Linked DNA regions of Arabidopsis thaliana. The protein of the gene in region 2 interacts with the protein of the main gene of each other region in a pairwise test. Each region holds a gene or a part of one and is shown on either strand. Other genes may lie near its edges. The genes, in order: AT4G24310 and OLEO2.

Region 1 (8,358 bases), on a different chromosome or scaffold from region 2:
GCCTTATGAAAATGCTTTTCACTTGGGGTCGTACAGTGATCAGGCTGAGAAGTGGGCTGTCGCAGTACTTCATGAGCTTTTGTTCCTTTTAGTATCTAAGAAGACTGAGACAGACAATGTGATTTGCTTAGGGGAGTATTTAGGGTTCGGGATGAGGTTCAAGAAGGCTTTGGTGCACCACCCGGGTATATTTTACATGTCGCACAAGATTCGGACCCAGACTGTTGTTCTAAGGGAAGCTTACCACAAAGTTTTCTTGCTGGAGAAGCATCCATTGATGGGGATCAGACATCAGTACATTTATCTTATGAGCAAATCAGGGAGAGGGAAGAAACGAGACTATGTTCATGGAGTTGAGAGAAGCAACCGAAAAAAGAGAGTAATCAAAGCTTGTGAAGATGGTGAAATTTATGCACATAACAGCAGTCTTTGATCAGAGAGGATAGTAGTAGTGTCGAATTAATGAGTTGCTATGACTAGGGCGAGTAAGGACAGCTTAATCGAGTATGGAATTGGTTGCTGATATGGTATCATTGTGCAAGATTTTGTGTTTGAGTCCTTGACCGACTCTGCCAGCAATTGGAGTAAACAGAACTCAAGATCTCGCATATTACCTAGCTAGCAACGGTGTTTAGCTAGTGGCTACAGAGTCTCTGCATTTTGCAAGTAAGTAAAACGGATGCAGAGAAAGGAATTTATAAACCTCCACAGGTTTTCTTATTTCCTTTGGGAAGACGCATGTATGTCTCAAATAAACATGGCAAGAGATGAAAGTCAGAGTAAACAACATGACAAGTGTGAGTCTTACAAGAACTGTGTTGTCCACATGCTCTTTTGAAAGGTCCCAACCTGGATGGTCCTCTCAGTTCAGCCACTTCCTGATCAAACAATTAACCAAGTTTTTTTTTTTATAGCTTTCAGTTTATTGATATCGTGTGTTAACTCAATTAGACAAGGCATCTTAAGCATTTCACACCTCTAAGTGTATTATTAGTTTATGACCAAGCAGAACGTATAATAAGATTGCTTGCGTAAATAATTGTCCACTAAACAAAGAACAAAATTAAAATCATTATTAGAATTGGAAGTAGATGAGACAAACACGAAATGATCACATGCACAAGCGAATTAGTCAACCAAACATTAAATAATCAAATTGCTTATATCTATTTGGAAATAAATAACAAATCTAACGACGACCCCCGTCTCCGGTGACCGGATATCCAATACCGTGCCTTCTCGCCGGAAAAACCAAGAACAACATGCCACAGATAACCCCAACACCCATTGGAACAATGTCCAAAACCTTCTTGGTTTCTTGCTCTGGCGCCGGATAAAAACAACTCACGGCGTTCTTGTCCCTCAGAGCCACCGCACCAAACACAAGAACCGACAAAACGGCGTGGATCCAGTCAATAATTCTTATCCGGTATTTACTAAGATTGGGTAAACCCAAACCGTCAGGGTCAGGGTAGTCGAAAACCCACATGCCCTTACGAGTAGCAAAACCGTAATAAACGTTACCGTCTTCAGCCTTGACGCTGTCAGTGAAGGAGCTAAGGAAGCAGGAGATGGAGAGAAGCGTGAGGAGCACTATGGTTAAAACCTGGGTCGGGTAATCGCATGAACCATTGGATGTAAAGACGGGTATGAGGAGCGTGAAAGCTAAGAGCGTTCCGGTTGGAAGGAGATTTGCCAGGTTTGCAGCTGAGGTTAGCGTCTGTGACATGACTGCATGTTGAGATGTCTGCCTCCTTAGCTGTGGAACAGACTCCGATTGCTCTTGCGAACTAGTTGGGTTTCTCTGCGTTAGGGAAGATGGTGAAGACATATTCTTTCGTTTTTCTTATTTGTTTCGAGAATTAATGGATGATTATGATCATAATATATACCAAGAAGAACGTGCGATTAAGTGTAGAAGATGGTTGTTGACGTGATCAATGTTTTGACTTTTGAGAAGTCAATGGGTCTCTTTTGATTCCTTCTTGAGAGTTGAGACTTTCAAAGTTGATTATATATTACTCTCGTTCTTACTCGTCTCCAACTTTAAACAAAAAACTTTAAAATCGATTTGCATGTTACGTTAACTTTAAAGAGATTCGCACTCTTTGGTGGGAACTAAAAAAGTAAACCTAATTCCACTAAAAAAGGTCTCCCGTTGGATCCATCTCGCAGCAATTCATCCCCTTCATCATCAAATCCGTGTGTTTCCTGCATAAACGCCTCACCCAAGGATCCCCTAGGGATTTGTTCCGCGCGTATGATTTCTGTTTGGAATGCTGCGAATTGGTCTCCTACGATCCTCTAGCCGTCCAGCTTCAGAGAGTCGGGCTGATTCACTGTTACCAGGCCTGGGGTTGGTTCACTCACGCCTACAACGATGGTTTTAGAGTCCTTGACCACCTTAAAGGACCCGCCTACGACGATGGTTTTAGAGTTAGAGAACCCGAGTCCAAAGGTGTACCGTTTTTACCAGATCCCGAATTTGGAGGAGCTAAACTGGCAAGAGTCCAACTCATGGTTGTGGCGTCCATCGTCAGGTCTGTAGCAATGTCGCGGGATATGAACGATCTCCAATACTTGAGGGGCATTTCTCTTCTACAAGGGCTAAAACCCTGGCTAAGGTAAATAAAACCGTGAGACTTATGCTTCCCTTGCTGTACAAGTCAACAAGTTTCACTTCTTCTTCTTCTTTTTTTTCTAGGTATTTGGATGCCAATGAACACCATAAGTTTCTCAAGCTGGTCTTGTCAGATATGGGAGAGTGTGCTCTCTCGGTAATTAGAGAAGCAGAGCGTTTCGATGAGGCTTTTGTGCATTCTTTTTGCATCTCTACACTAGAGGAATATTCTGTATCCCCGTTGCCAAAATGTCATTTTTATAAGGTGACTTTCCCAAGTTTACATGTCCTTCTGTGGCTCTGTCTCTGTCTCTCTCTCTCGTACGCCTTGACTGTCTTGTTTTGTATCCAGTTCTCCCGCCAGGTACTTTCTTTACTGTTTCCGTCCAAGGAGGCAAAAACATCACTAAATCTTAAAATTATGATGTCTGTGTTGAAATTTGTGGCAGGTGAATTCCAGGTATGTGCAAAAGTCTCGTGTCCAGATTAGTCAGTCATTAGATGTTTCTAGGGCATTATTATGTTTCTTGTGGCACTCACTGCTCTGCTATGTTGAAACTCTCATAGCTTATTCTCTCTCAGGTTGAACCTAAAGCAAATTGGTCGAAGCTTCTTGACTTAGTCCAAAGTTTTTTTAGGTGAATGTCATGCGCATCGTTCTCTTTAGATAAAACATGAGCTCCAGAAAATTAAACTTGGTATTATTATTCATGGAGTATTAACACATTTTGAATGTAGATGCTATCATCTTAACAAAAAAAACTCAATTTACTTCATCTTGAATGTTATCCCAAGAGTTTTTTTTATTGCTTTTAGGTTCACTTACTGTTATACATTCATGCTTACCCAATATACCCTAACAAACTCTCGTGCTAAAACCAATATAAAAAAAAATCAGAGAAGTATGCCAGCTCATAAGCCTTCATAACCATCTGTCGCCTTTATTTTTATATCACCGTAGTGTTCTCCTAGTTCCGGAGGATCTTGGCGCATCTTAAGTGCATAGCCTTTCTTTTTGGCATCATCGTTAGACTGTGATAAGACTGGAAAAAATTGTCTCTCCTCCCTCCACTCCTCGTCTTACACCAGAACCAGCAGTCTTCAAGCAGAGTTCGATATGCAGCTGTTTGAGTGATGCCCATTTTGATTCCTCATCATTATTTGGGGAGGAGCTTTCGAGATCAGTTTTCTTTAATTCAACTTCTTAACATAAACTTCTCTTTTATCCAAAAAATACACAAACTTCTCTTTGTTGAAAAATAACACATAGTTCATTTGGTACTAGGTAACGACTCGTGCATAATATATTCAAAATTAATTGAAAATTTTGTTCTGTTAAGATTAATATATTTAATGTATGCATTATAGTCTATAGATGGATAGTTAGTGAAACAATATAAAATTTTTGAGTTTGAATATATTTTGAAGACTTGCCAAATCTTAGTATTGGAATTTAACTATAACTGTTATTATTACCAAAAAAAAGTATTTTGTTGTTTTAAATGTATGAATTCATATAATGGTTTGTTTATTTAGATAAATATTCTAATTAGATAACATAGAGATTTCATAATCTCTTTTATAATTAGTTGTAAATGCTAAAAATAATTTATTTAATCATCTTTCTATTAATTTATGTATAAATGGAATGCCAAGTAAAAAGTGATACAATTGTTAGTCATATAATTTAGTGATTATTTCAATTATAACAAAACGATGCATTTTAATATAATATATATTCAAAATATCTATATTTGGTTATAAAAATTCGAAATATTTAAATATGGTAACTTTACATATTAAAAAACTTTTGTGTGTTTGACAATTGAGTTAAGAAAATAAACAGAAATAATATTTAAATACTTGGAAATAAAAGTGTTTGGTAATAGGGATTAGAATTTTTTTTTGTTTTAAATGGTTGAGGAAAATTGTGAGCTTGGCCACATAAGGACTAGAAAAACTTTGTTCCATTATAATCTCCTCAAGGGATAAATTTATAAACAGAAAAACTTGATTAAATCTACCTGCTGATCTGATTTATATATTTACTAAGTTCTTCTTGTTGTATTTTTCTTTTGCTGTACCAAAACTTGTCAATGTCACTATTCAAACCCATAAATTTGATATCCACGATCCCAACTTCTCGTGTATATAAGTTTTACAGTGGCATATTAGACATCCACACCATTAACATTACAAACGACAAAACCTTAAGAATGTACACGTACAGACATAAACATACCACTCATCCTATTTTCTCTCATTGTCTCTGAGCCACACCACCACCATTTTCTCTTAACCTTCATAGGCTTCCTCGATCACTTCATCTCCCAATATTGGAGTAAATAGAGAATACTTCACCTTCAATGAGATTTTGCCTTTCTCCACCAATAATCTTGCACCCGATACAACCCAATACCCGGGTGATTCTTGCGGCCCTCTTGTCATCTCACTTGTATCCACAAATTTCAAAAGTTTTGGAGCTTGCGTGGGTACTGGTGGTCCACCAGGATATATAGCCGAATTTATATTCACGTCTGCAGGTCGTGGTGGTGGTTTTTGTGCTGCAGTGAAGTGATGGCTTATTAGCGTTGAGATGAGTCCTGATTTTGGAGCAAAGCCTACCGCTTCATCCCATTCAGAATTCTTTACCAGTGTTGCTCCCACAACTCTAGAGAAACAAAGGCGCAAGAAGAGCACGTTCTTGAATCCGTGGCTCTCTACATGAAGCTGCGCACCTGTTACTACAGAAAGATCATCATCTGATTCGACAGGCTCTGTGCAGACGTGAGAGTAGTTCTTCCAGTTTACTTTCTCATAGTATCGACGGTCATGAGACTCTTGCCGGATACTTCTATTTAGATCGTCTTCGAGCTGATATATCTTGGGAAGAGAGGAAAGGTGTTGCAAATGAATTGCCAAACGGTTGCTTCTTCTACCCTCTAGGTAGAGCCGCATGCCAGTGATTGGCCTCTTACCAACATCAACCTGAAACCAGACAAACGAGAACGAGCATCTCAGGACTGGAGGACTTTAAACAAAATCTAACCACACAGGGTTAATGAGATCAGACTTGACTGACCAAATAAACCTGCATCAGCAAGCTACATATTCAGGGATGAAACAAACCCATACCGGAGTGGTATTCACGTATAGCTTAGGTCCAAAGAAACTGAATTGCAGAGACGCACAACTTTGTTGCTTTCGTTGCGGACCAAGAGGAAGTTCACTAAAAACGGGTGCCCACTGCCTTGGTAGCTGAAACTCGAGAAACTGATGCAGCTCTTCAATTGGTGGCTTATCTACAAATCTCAGTTAATGTTGGATTGTTAACCCAAGGCTTTTCGTTTATAGTATGTTCATCTTACGCGGATCATATAACAGATGGCAGAAAAAATCATCTTCGACTTATAAAAATACTATAATTTTCAAGTTATGCTCCTATGTATCAACCTAACTACCCAGCTGGACTTGGAGATTACGCAAGATTTGGGATTATACTATTCTAATTTTACCTATATCAAACTTCTAATCTAAAGGTAAAAGAAACCACTAGTATGAAGAATAACTCCAGAAAGAAATGCACAAAGCGCAAATGATTTATAGGCTTACATCTTAGATACAGATTTATGGCATGGCTTAAGAATCCACTTCCTGGAACTCCATTAAGCAAAGACGTAATTGGAATAAAAGACATGGAGATAACATCAGGCTCCATCTGAACTGTTTGCAGCCATTCATTATGCATTAGATTTCTGTTATCGTTTCCACCTCGCCTCTTGCACATGAAGACATAGTCCTACAAAAAACATGTAACTCCTGAGAAAAGAAGCTAACACACAGATTACATGTCTTTATGATAAGCTATGGTACCAATAGAAATTACCTCCTTATTTGCATAAGAGCCCAAAGAACTGGTATCTGCAAATCTCAGGCGTTGCTCCTTTGTTTCCACCTGAAACCAGGAATAAAAGACAGGAATTACAGACTTAAGAGTCGAAACACTAGATTGTTAGTAGAAATTCTTCTATATGTCAAATAGCCAAAACATTTATGACATGCACAAACAAGAAAGTTTTGATGATGGGAAACAAAAATAATAATAACTATTTCACAGACCTTACTACTTGCTTGTACTCTTTCTGAACCCGTATTATGCACTACGCTAGCTTCCACGAACCTCTTATCTGCCACCTCTTTTAACCTTTTCTGCAGATCCTCAGGCTGAAGTTTTGAGGAGTGTTGTTGTTTTGCATAAATCACATCTTTTCCTCCCATCTTAACACTAACAATTATATGCGTCCCATAAATATCTATAAACCTGGTAAAGAAACATTTGACTAAGTGTTAGTCATAAACCCTCCAATTACTGAAGAAATATTACTAATGAAACAACGCCTACAACAAGTAAGACGTAATTCTTAAGTCATACAAAAACAATTTCATCCAGTGAAAAGACATTGGGCCAAGGAAACGACCATCGAACAATTTCACAGAAAAATATGCAGATGTAAGTAACTTTCCATAGACTTTACATACATACAATCCTATTATGAAGACAGAACATCACCTTGCCAATGCAGCAGGGTCCCATGTTGATGGAACAGCCTGCTTAACATGCTCACGGAGTAACACTTGAGATTTGTCCAAAGCCACCGAGTATAATGAGATGAAAACCCCATCAAAAGCAAGGTTTTTGGTGTAGGCTGCGTCTTTCTGCCAACAGCTCGAGAATTCAAACATGGCATTGAAGAGACCTGACGGGATTTTCCCAGCCAAAGATAGTTCCTGGTTGAACTGCTCTGCCATCTAGCAAACCATAAGAAAAATGTTAACAAAATGTTAATAACTAAGGCATCCAAAATGCTATGAAGGAAATTTACTCTCTAGAACAATGTACAAGGAAACTAGATAAAGGCTTCAACAGATGGCGATCTTATCCACTCAAAACCTACAACAACACAAACCAATACTTTTCAACGAAAAGTTACCTGTTGGAAAGGAAGAATATCGGACCTAAACCGCATACGCTCCCCTTTATCGCATTTGATAGACTTGGAAACATTAGGAATGGAGATTCCACCAGGTAAAACAATCTCACAATTATCATCACCTTCTTTAATGTCAAGTAATCTAGAATCTTTGGAACCTCCTTTGCAATACTTCAACCGTAAATCAATAGCTAGATCATAACCACAGCCAATAGATCCAATCGCAACTTCAGCTGCTTTAGAAGCTGGTAGCCGAAGAGCCATGCTTCAGTACAAGACTTCTCTGTTGGCCAGACCAAAATCAAAGAAAGAGAATTAGAGCCCAGAATCAACAACACACAAAAACAATCAAAAGTCACCACTTTAGATATTTCTGAGAATTGCTGACACAAAGTGTGAATCTGACCAATAAGATCTCAATCGAAATCATAGTTTCTAAATATAGACCAAAAACTGAAGCTAGATGACCTAGGAATCTTGAACAGAAGACCAAGTCCAAAATGTCACCATATAAAATCAATTCAATAAAAGCGCAAAAGTCAAATAGAAAGACTGCAAAATAACCCTTAAAGACTTTGAAAGAAGAATATGAAAGTAATAAAGGAATATTGTAAATAGACGAAGTTGGAGCTTAAAGTACGTTTTCAAGCATATGTCTTCACCAACCGAGCTCAAAAACCGCGATCTAAACGAATCCTAAATCGAAGAACTATGATTGCAGATCCATGGAGCTCAATCATAGCAGCA
Region 2 (8,885 bases):
ATGTATGGAAAATTGAGATTTTTTGACAAAGTGATATAGTGATATCTTTAGCGGTAAAAACACTAAAGATTAATAGAAAGCGTAGGAATTTAGTATTCTATGGAAAAGTAGAGTAGTTATTAGTTAATTTAATGTTCTTTACTATAATCTTTGTTTTTTAAAGGAATATAAAATATGTTATTTCTGAAAATACGAACGTTACTTTATCAAAATGTTTAACGAGAAATTATACTATTTTAATAATTAAAAAACATAATATGGTTGGCATTTTTTCATAGGAAAAATGTTAAAATAAACGAGTTTTCTATGGATGGTGAATTGAGAACTAGTTGAGTCTAAACAATTGAGTACTTAAATTCAAGTATTAATGGACTCAACCTAAATATATTATTAAAAAACTATCTTCAGTGCTCAAGAAAATAAAATAAATTTTATCTAACAGAAATAAATTCATGACATGTATGACACGTGTTGTAATATGTCAAATTTTCTCTTTTAAACACAAACGCTCTCATAAATCATTATAATTTCATAATTATTTATTACAATTTAAGAATATAAATGTCTATTTTATCCTCAAGTTGATATTGTATAACTCCTCATCTCAAAATCTTAAAATTAGAACAATATCTAAAGTACTATCTTTAATTACATCCAATTATCTAACTAATTATAGTGTGTACTTTTTTGGTTTTTTGGCCCATGGTTTTATATTTAACTCACTTTTATTATCTATAAAACGTGAAAACAATGATTTGTTAAAATTAATGACTTGTAAAAATATTTGACAAGTCAAAGTCTTTGCCACTCAATTTCTACAAAATTCATTAATACATTTGTTACCTTTTAAATAGATTTTTACCTTTTTTGTTTTATTTAATTATTTGAAGTACACTTTTTTATAACCACTCACTTCTTATCGTCTTATCTGAGTATCGTTCTTTCTAAGATTTTCTATAACTTTCCGCCCATCTTTGGGTTTCAATATTTGTTTTACGGATTTCTGCACTCGATCTTTGTACTTCTTAGATTCATATCGAGATTTAATCAGTTTTCCATTTTAGAATCATCATTTCAATTCAAGTTGGTGTTTAAATGGAATTCTCATTGATCTCCGATGAAAATTTCATCTTAAACGATGCTCATCGATGTCCTGTTAATGATGATGCATCGCATATACCAAAAAATAATCTTAACTTTTTCAATGACAATTTAGGTCAATCTTCTCGTACTGGATGGTCTTTTTCACCAGATCTGACTGATATCTCTAATCAGCACCACCAAAATCTTATACCTTTGATCCCAAATTATGATTCTCAAAATCAGAATTTGGATACTAATCAAAACCATTTGGTTTACAACTCTTCCTCCTATGAAATTCCATCAAACTACCCATTCATGAGTATCAAATCCTACTCAAATATTGATACTCTTGAGCAATCTATGAATAACATAGTCAACAACGGAAAAATCCATATGATCGATAATCCCCCAATTTTTGCAAACCCTAAGGGTATATTCGAAAATTTTCATGATTTGCAGGAATACACTATAGGGAATGAGATTGTACACAATGAAGAACTGACTAATAAGGGTTATGAGCCAACTCTTGATAAGGTAATGGGTGAACCTCAATTATTTGATGTGCCAGTGCTAGAAGGTATCAAAAATACAACCAACGAAATCATGAATCAACTTGAAGATGATAAGATGAAAAAAACTTATGAGAATAAAAAGGAGGCGAGCACAAGCAAATATTTGAAGAAAAGTGACATCACCAAAAAAAGATGGACAGAATCTGAGGACATGTAAGTCTTCATTTTTTTTTTATTCTCAAATAAATTTAAAAACTATTATTCAATTTCCTCCTTGGGAATTCTCATATAACTTTTTTTTATTGTATGCCTTTTATTTTATTTTTTGAGGATGTGAAAATATATTGTAATGTATATAGAAAATTGAAAGAGATGGTGGCACTTGAACCCAAAAAATGGACAAAGGTCGCAAAACATTTTGAAGGACGAACACCAAAACAATGCAGAGAGAGGTGGCATAACCATGCTCGTCCTAACGTTAAGGTGTTCTTTTCTTTCATCTGCCTATATTCTTATTTTCATAATTTAATATAAATGATCATCACAGCTTATATGTGTGTGAAAGCAACTACGTTCTTACAATGTTCACGCACACATGTATAGAGTATAGATTGAAATTCATATAGTTGAATAGTAGTGTGGCTAACGATTTAATCACAACAATTTTAAAAATTTATATTTAGGAGTTACATGTGATACTTACAAATAATCTCATCATGGATACAAAATACATTGGCAAATTTTGTTTTCTCATAGTTATTACGAGGGGTTATTAAAACGTGCATCTTTATAGTTTGTATCTTGCTTCCATCAATAAAAGTGTCATATACATACAATAATAAGAGAATGATTTACGTATATGTGATTTCAGAAAACTACTTGGAGTGAAGAAGAAGATCAAATACTAATTGAAGTACACAAAGTAATTGGTGCCAAATGGATCCAGATCTCAGAGCAACTTCCGGGGAGGAGCTATAACAATGTTAAGAACCATTGGAATACCACAAAGCGTCGGGTGCAAAATAAAAGTGGTCGAACTGTCAACCGTGTCGGCAATAACATCCTTGAAAACTACATAAGGAGTATCACAATCAACAACGATGATGAATCTGATGGTGAACCGACAAACATTGAGAATTATCATGATGACTCTGAAGATATGTTATATGGGGAGATGAATTTGAGTCCAGAGGCTATAACGCAGACCACCAAACCATTGACCGATGCTTCTACAATATCACCTTATATTCCGATGCCAAAAGAAAACTATACTCTGGAGGTTTGTGAATCACTGGAGGACTATCTAGAGCTGCTGCGTTGGTGGGATTAATTTCCAGTGAAGGAAATTTCTTTGATAATATGATATTTTCTCACTATCGTGTGAGATATCTATCTATCTATTTCTTTTTAAATTAAGCAAATTTTAATTTACACCGTTTTGGTGTATATCTCTATCTATCTATTATACAAGAACTATATAAGTTATGTTACAGTGGTGTACTATTTTAAGTGAGTGACATAGTATTTTCTTCATATGGTTAATTAATCAACAACAATTTCCCAGCTTACTATCTATATGTGTACTTTAAACTTATATTGATAGAGAACTACAAAATTATGTTTTTGTACAAGAGAATTTGGTCTTCGGATCAATAATTTCTCTAAATATAATTTGTAAAGCCAACCCTATAATTTGTAAAATCCATGTATTACACACCAAAAAATTCAAAAGATAATCATGATTTGTTATAATTTTCTTTTTTTAATTGTGAATTGACAGACAAAAAAAACATTACATTGTGATTTAAATTCAAGACTTTGACTTGTTAAGGAAACACCATGATTCATTATTTTTTCTTCATTTGTTACATTGTCACTAGAAATATTTGATCTAATTTTATTATGATAATAGACTACATACAACATATGCGATTACGATTTTGACATGTAATCTATTTTAAGAGTATTTAACATTTAAGCGTGTTGAAGTTATAACAATATCATATAAAATGACATATCTAAAAGTGATTTTCAATATTATGCGATCGATTTTGGCTAAAACTTATAAAAAAACTCATGGGAATCTTTAAAATTAGAAATCAAGTCTTTTTAATAACCCGAAGTATAGTGAATCAACTGCGGAACAAAAGTGGATTTACATCAAGCATGTGTGTGAAACCACATACAAGGTTAATAGTACGTTAGCCGTGAGCCGAGTCCAAACGAATACGAATTGCTACTTCTAGCTAGGGATGATTGTTTTGATATGCAATAAGAACGTTCCTTTCGGTATACGAAAGTGATTGTAATACTCCGAGTTGAAAGAAGTTTTGATTAGGAAATGAATCTGAGTTTGGATGCTAGAATAGAATCTGCCGCACCGTTAGTGTTTAGTTGATGTCTCTACATGACTACATCATCTTTGTGAACTAATATATAGTAATGGGGATTGGATTGGCACAAAACTTTATTTACGGAATCATTTTCTTAATTTGATACTAAAAGTTCGAAATCGAAATTTTGAAATCCAAATGTGGTGCAAAACTACATCGTCCTATCTTCGATTTCCCATCTTCTTTTATAATTTAACATGGATAATTCAAAAGCTATTGTCTAGATTACATATTTTGGATTCGTTAGTCACATAACCAAAAATGAAACTCTTTTGATGAATTATGTATTTTCAAATTTGTATTGGAGATCCTTTTAGACTTCGGACTCAAGTATACATGCATAGGATAGTTTTCTTTTGTCTTGCTTTAAATTCGTGTCAGCGGAGAAAGCGAAAACATCTTTTAAAATCTCATGAAATGAAATAAAATAAAATAAAAACTAAAAGAAGAAAAAAGTTGAAACTTGGAAATCATGCAAAGCCACACCTCTACTACTCTAACATCTCACCGTCTTATGTGTCCTCTTCTCATCTCTCCAACTTCTTCTTTAAATAAACCTTCTCCAAACTTTTCTAGTTTTATTACAAAGAAAATAGGTAAAAACAATTTCTCATTAGCTTACAATGGCGGATACACACCGTGTCGACCGTACTGATAGACACTTTCAATTTCAGTCGCCCTATGAAGGCGGCCGAGGTCAAGGTCAGTATGAAGGTGACCGTGGTTACGGTGGTGGCGGTTACAAGAGCATGATGCCTGAAAGTGGCCCATCTAGTACCCAAGTAATGTCTTTGTCTTTATATTTATACATTCTCTTAATCTTTATACATACAAAGTTAAGAAATGATTCTTTACGGATCAATGGAGTCTATGTTCATGGAATCTTGAAATATATGTTCAAATAAATTATGAATAATTTTGACACTGTTCGATTTATATGGTTACATGCATAAAACTTCTTCTTGATCTTCTTTTTGTTATTGCGAGTTAAATATGACCTTCAAAACATCACAAAAATGGTCAGATTGATATGGTTTTGTGATTGTACCTTTTCTTGATCTCATGCTTATGATTGTTAATCGAACATAATTTTTGATCTCCTAGGCTTTTTTTTTTTTTGTGTCCGATCAAAATATGGTTAGTCTTATTCTGGTTGTTAATTGAATAGAAATGTTTTTTTGCAATGTCGGTCTAAATGTCCCAACCATTACAATTATATGTATACACCTTTTGGTTAAATTTGCATGCATATATATTGATTTGAATCTAACGATTGTTAACTTGTATCATTTAAAAAAAAGGTATTGTCCCTGTTGATTGGAGTCCCTGTCGTCGGTTCGCTACTTGCCTTGGCTGGATTACTTCTAGCTGGTTCGGTGATCGGCTTAATGGTTGCTTTACCACTATTTCTCCTCTTCAGCCCGGTTATAGTCCCAGCGGCTCTAACTATCGGGCTTGCAATGACAGGCTTTTTAGCCTCGGGGATGTTCGGTCTAACCGGGCTTAGCTCAATCTCATGGGTCATGAACTATCTTCGTGGGACAAGGAGAACTGTGCCTGAGCAATTGGAGTATGCTAAGAGGAGAATGGCTGATGCGGTTGGCTACGCAGGACAAAAGGGCAAAGAAATGGGCCAGCATGTGCAGAACAAGGCCCAAGATGTTAAACAATATGATATTTCTAAGCCACATGACACTACCACTAAGGGTCATGAGACTCAGGGGAGGACGACGGCTGCATGATGAGTTTTCAGTATGAACGGTAGATATGTGTTTTCACTATTATGTCGTTTTTTCTGCATTTTCAATATGATGTTATGTGTTTTTTTTGTTTGGCTTTTTGTTGAACCGTGTATGTGTTTTATGTTTTTGTAAGCATGAAAGATCGCAAGTGTTGTGGTAATATTTGAATGTAATAATATGATAAGTTGATAAATCATGGGAACATTTAAATTAGGTGGACATGTTTAGCTATTTGATACTCACAGTTCTTTAGGTTTCTAGTTTTTTTTTTGTCTATATAGAGAAAATGAAACAGTGCAAAACTTTACAGTTCTATTGGAGGTTTATATGTGTATGCAATTTTTTCATATTATACACACACACACTTGAAAGAGTAAAATTGACACTTGTGAGGATGAGAAATTGAGATACTACCAATAATCGCTACAAGAGCATGATCCGTCTAAGAAATGATGAAACCTCTTAGAATCTCTAATAATGATTCTCCTTTTCTCGATCAAAGATATTGCTTTTGCTGTTTCATGACAATCCCCACAAATTCTAAGATTCTTCCTTATGATAATTGGCTCCATTGGACTAACCACCAAAAGCCCAAACGCCATCGCAATCTTCTCACTATGTTGATTGATCATTTCCTCTTTAACATCTTCACCAACATCATGTAATACAAACTCTGTTTTTGATTTATATCCCATTTCACTCTTCATCTTCTTCCTAATCTCTTTCAGCTTCTTTTGTATCTTCTCTGATTCAGGATGAGACCAATCTCCAACAACAAACTTATGAATTTTGTTACCATGTTCAATGTAGCTACACCCTGAAGCTCTTACAAGACCTTTCTGTTTCATCAGATTCCTTATTCTTGAAGCATCTTTCCATAGACCAGAAGCTGAATAGATGTTTGAGAGCATTACATAGTTTCTACCATCACGAGGCTCTAATTCGAACAATCTCTCTGCGGCTTTTGTTCCGAGTTGTGTATCTTTGTAAACCCTACAAGCACCAAGCAAAGCTCCCCAAACACCAGAACTAGGCTCCATTGGCATTTCTTTGATCAATCCATAAGCATCTTGGAGAAGCCCGGATCGACCCAGTAGATCAACCATACATGAATAGTGATCTAACCTCGGGTCAATCCTGTATCTTTTCGACATTGTTTCGAAATAATGCTTCCCTTCTTCTACAAGACCAGAATGACTACAAGCATTTAACAAGTGAGTGAAGGTTACATGATCAGGACTAATACCATAGTGAACCATGAGCTCAAAATGCTTGATTGCATCTCTTCCAAACCCATGAGTGGCATAAGCAGCAAGCATTGCAGTCCACGCCATACTATCTGGAGAAGTAATCTCATGAAAAACCGTAGACGAATCCTCCAACCTCCCAAGTTTCGAATACAAGTCTAATAACGCTGTCGTTATACACTTGTTTCCACTGAACCCACCAAACATGATTAGCCCATGAATTCCTTGCGCCAATCTCACTACACCCATGTCTTCACAGCTACGGAGAACAGCCAGAAAAGTGGCTTGATCAGGCTCGTGCCCAACCCTTCTGCTCATGTTAAAGTAAGCCAGACCTTTTTCAGCTAAACCGTTCTGCAAGTGAATCACAATCATCGTATTCCAAGAAACCAAATTCTTTATACTCAAATCCTCAAACAATTTGCAGGATGAAGTCAAATCTCCAGTCTTTCCATACCAATTGATAAAAGCATTCACAACTTTAACTTCCTCAAGTACACCAAATTTCATCACCAACCCATGAATACAACGTCCTTCTTCCTTACTTCCCCCGTAAACACAAGCCGAGATCATCGACAAAAACGTAACTTCATTAGGTCTAAAACCCACCTCAGATATCATCATCCTAGACAACACCTCAAAACATTTCCCCAAATAACCTCTCCCTGAATACCCAGATATTAAAGAGTTCCAAGAGACTAAATCTCTCTCAGGCATTTCATCGAACAGCTTCTCTGCACAAACATCATGACCCAATCTCAAGTAACAACCAACAAGCTGGTCCCCAATAAATCCATGGCGGTAACTCACACTCTTCACTACTTTACAATGAAGCAAACGACACAGTTCAATGGAGACACAAGACTTTACAGCAGCTATAAGTGATGAAACATTTGCATCTAAACTATGAACAAAACTAGATTGGCTCAAAAATCTCCGACGATATAAAAATCTGAACTTTGAACATGAATACACATTTGCTTTGATCATCTCTCATTGTTATTATCTTTCTCTCCTCAAACCAAACTTAAAAGCCTTCTCCAATTAGTAATTACCATTTTTACTATTAACGCCAATTAATTACTGGCTTCAAAAAAAAAATTACTATTGGATAAACAATAAATATCACATTTTAAATTTCTTATCATAATCATGTTTTACCTCTGAAATCGTCAAATCACTAACTAGGTGAAATTAAAAAATGGTTACATAGCTAGGTTCTCACCAAAAGCCATTACAAGAACAGTGACCATCTTTGAAATGGTGGAACCTGTTTCTGTCTCTGACAATGATCTCTCTGTTAAAAATCTTGGAGATCATCATAGAAACCTGATGACAATCTCCACAAACCCGAAGGTTCTTCACGATCCGAATCGGAACATCTTCTTTCAAACTCATTATACCAAATGCAATCGCTGCCTTTTCGCTATGCAAACACAATGCATCCTCTTTCTCTTCTTCATCTATATCGAACATAACCGGGGTTGTGTCCGCCTTATAACCAGCGAGTCTCAGCCTTCTCGAGATATCCTTCCAAACCGCGTCGATTTGTGTATACTTTGGGTGAGATTTGTCTCCTACAAAGAATTCATGGACTTCTCCATTGACCTCCATTACACTGCACCCTGGTTGCTTTCTGACTCCTTTAGATTTCATTGACTGTCTAACGTGACTAACATTGTCCCAATCGTTTGAATCTGCATATATGTTTGATAAGAGGACATAAGCTCCGTGATTTGCGGTCTCTAGCTCGAGCATTTTTTTAGATGCAAGCACGCCAAGCTCAAGGTTCTTGTACATTCTGGATGCGTGGAGCAGAGAACTCCAAACAGCAGCATGAGGCTTCATGGGCATTTGCTGGATGATACTTACTGCGTCTTCTAAGCGGCCTGCACGAGCATACAAATC

Evidence for each region.
Region 1: the proteins of OLEO2 (region 2) and AT4G24310 interact in a protein complementation assay, tested with the Arabidopsis thaliana proteins (one large-scale study listed by BioGRID).

Annotation. Positions count from the first base shown.
Region 1 is NC_003075.7:12,594,373-12,602,730, reverse strand, and holds AT4G24310 (transmembrane protein, putative (DUF679)), read right to left. Parts: upstream 1,929-8,358; 5' UTR 1,832-1,928; coding exon 1,190-1,831; 3' UTR 1,005-1,189; downstream 1-1,004. Other genes in the region: AT4G24320 (Ubiquitin carboxyl-terminal hydrolase family protein), read left to right, coding at 1-433; AT4G24300 (Peptidase C50, separase), read left to right, coding at 2,518-2,624, 2,705-2,885, 2,973-3,080, 3,710-3,751; AT4G24290 (MAC/Perforin domain-containing protein), read right to left, coding at 4,916-5,608, 5,756-5,922, 6,233-6,419, 6,507-6,575, 6,740-6,941, 7,191-7,429, 7,612-7,875. UniProt on the Arabidopsis thaliana protein: Involved in membrane remodeling.
Region 2 is NC_003076.8:16,170,467-16,179,351, reverse strand, and holds OLEO2 (oleosin 2), read left to right. Parts: upstream 1-4,568; 5' UTR 4,569-4,611; coding exon 4,612-4,770; intron 4,771-5,289; coding exon 5,290-5,730; 3' UTR 5,731-6,012; downstream 6,013-8,885. Other genes in the region: MYB22 (myb domain protein 22), read left to right, coding at 1,621-1,808, 1,955-2,078, 2,467-2,925; AT5G40410 (Tetratricopeptide repeat (TPR)-like superfamily protein), read right to left, coding at 6,141-7,967; AT5G40405 (Tetratricopeptide repeat (TPR)-like superfamily protein), read right to left, coding at 8,199-8,885.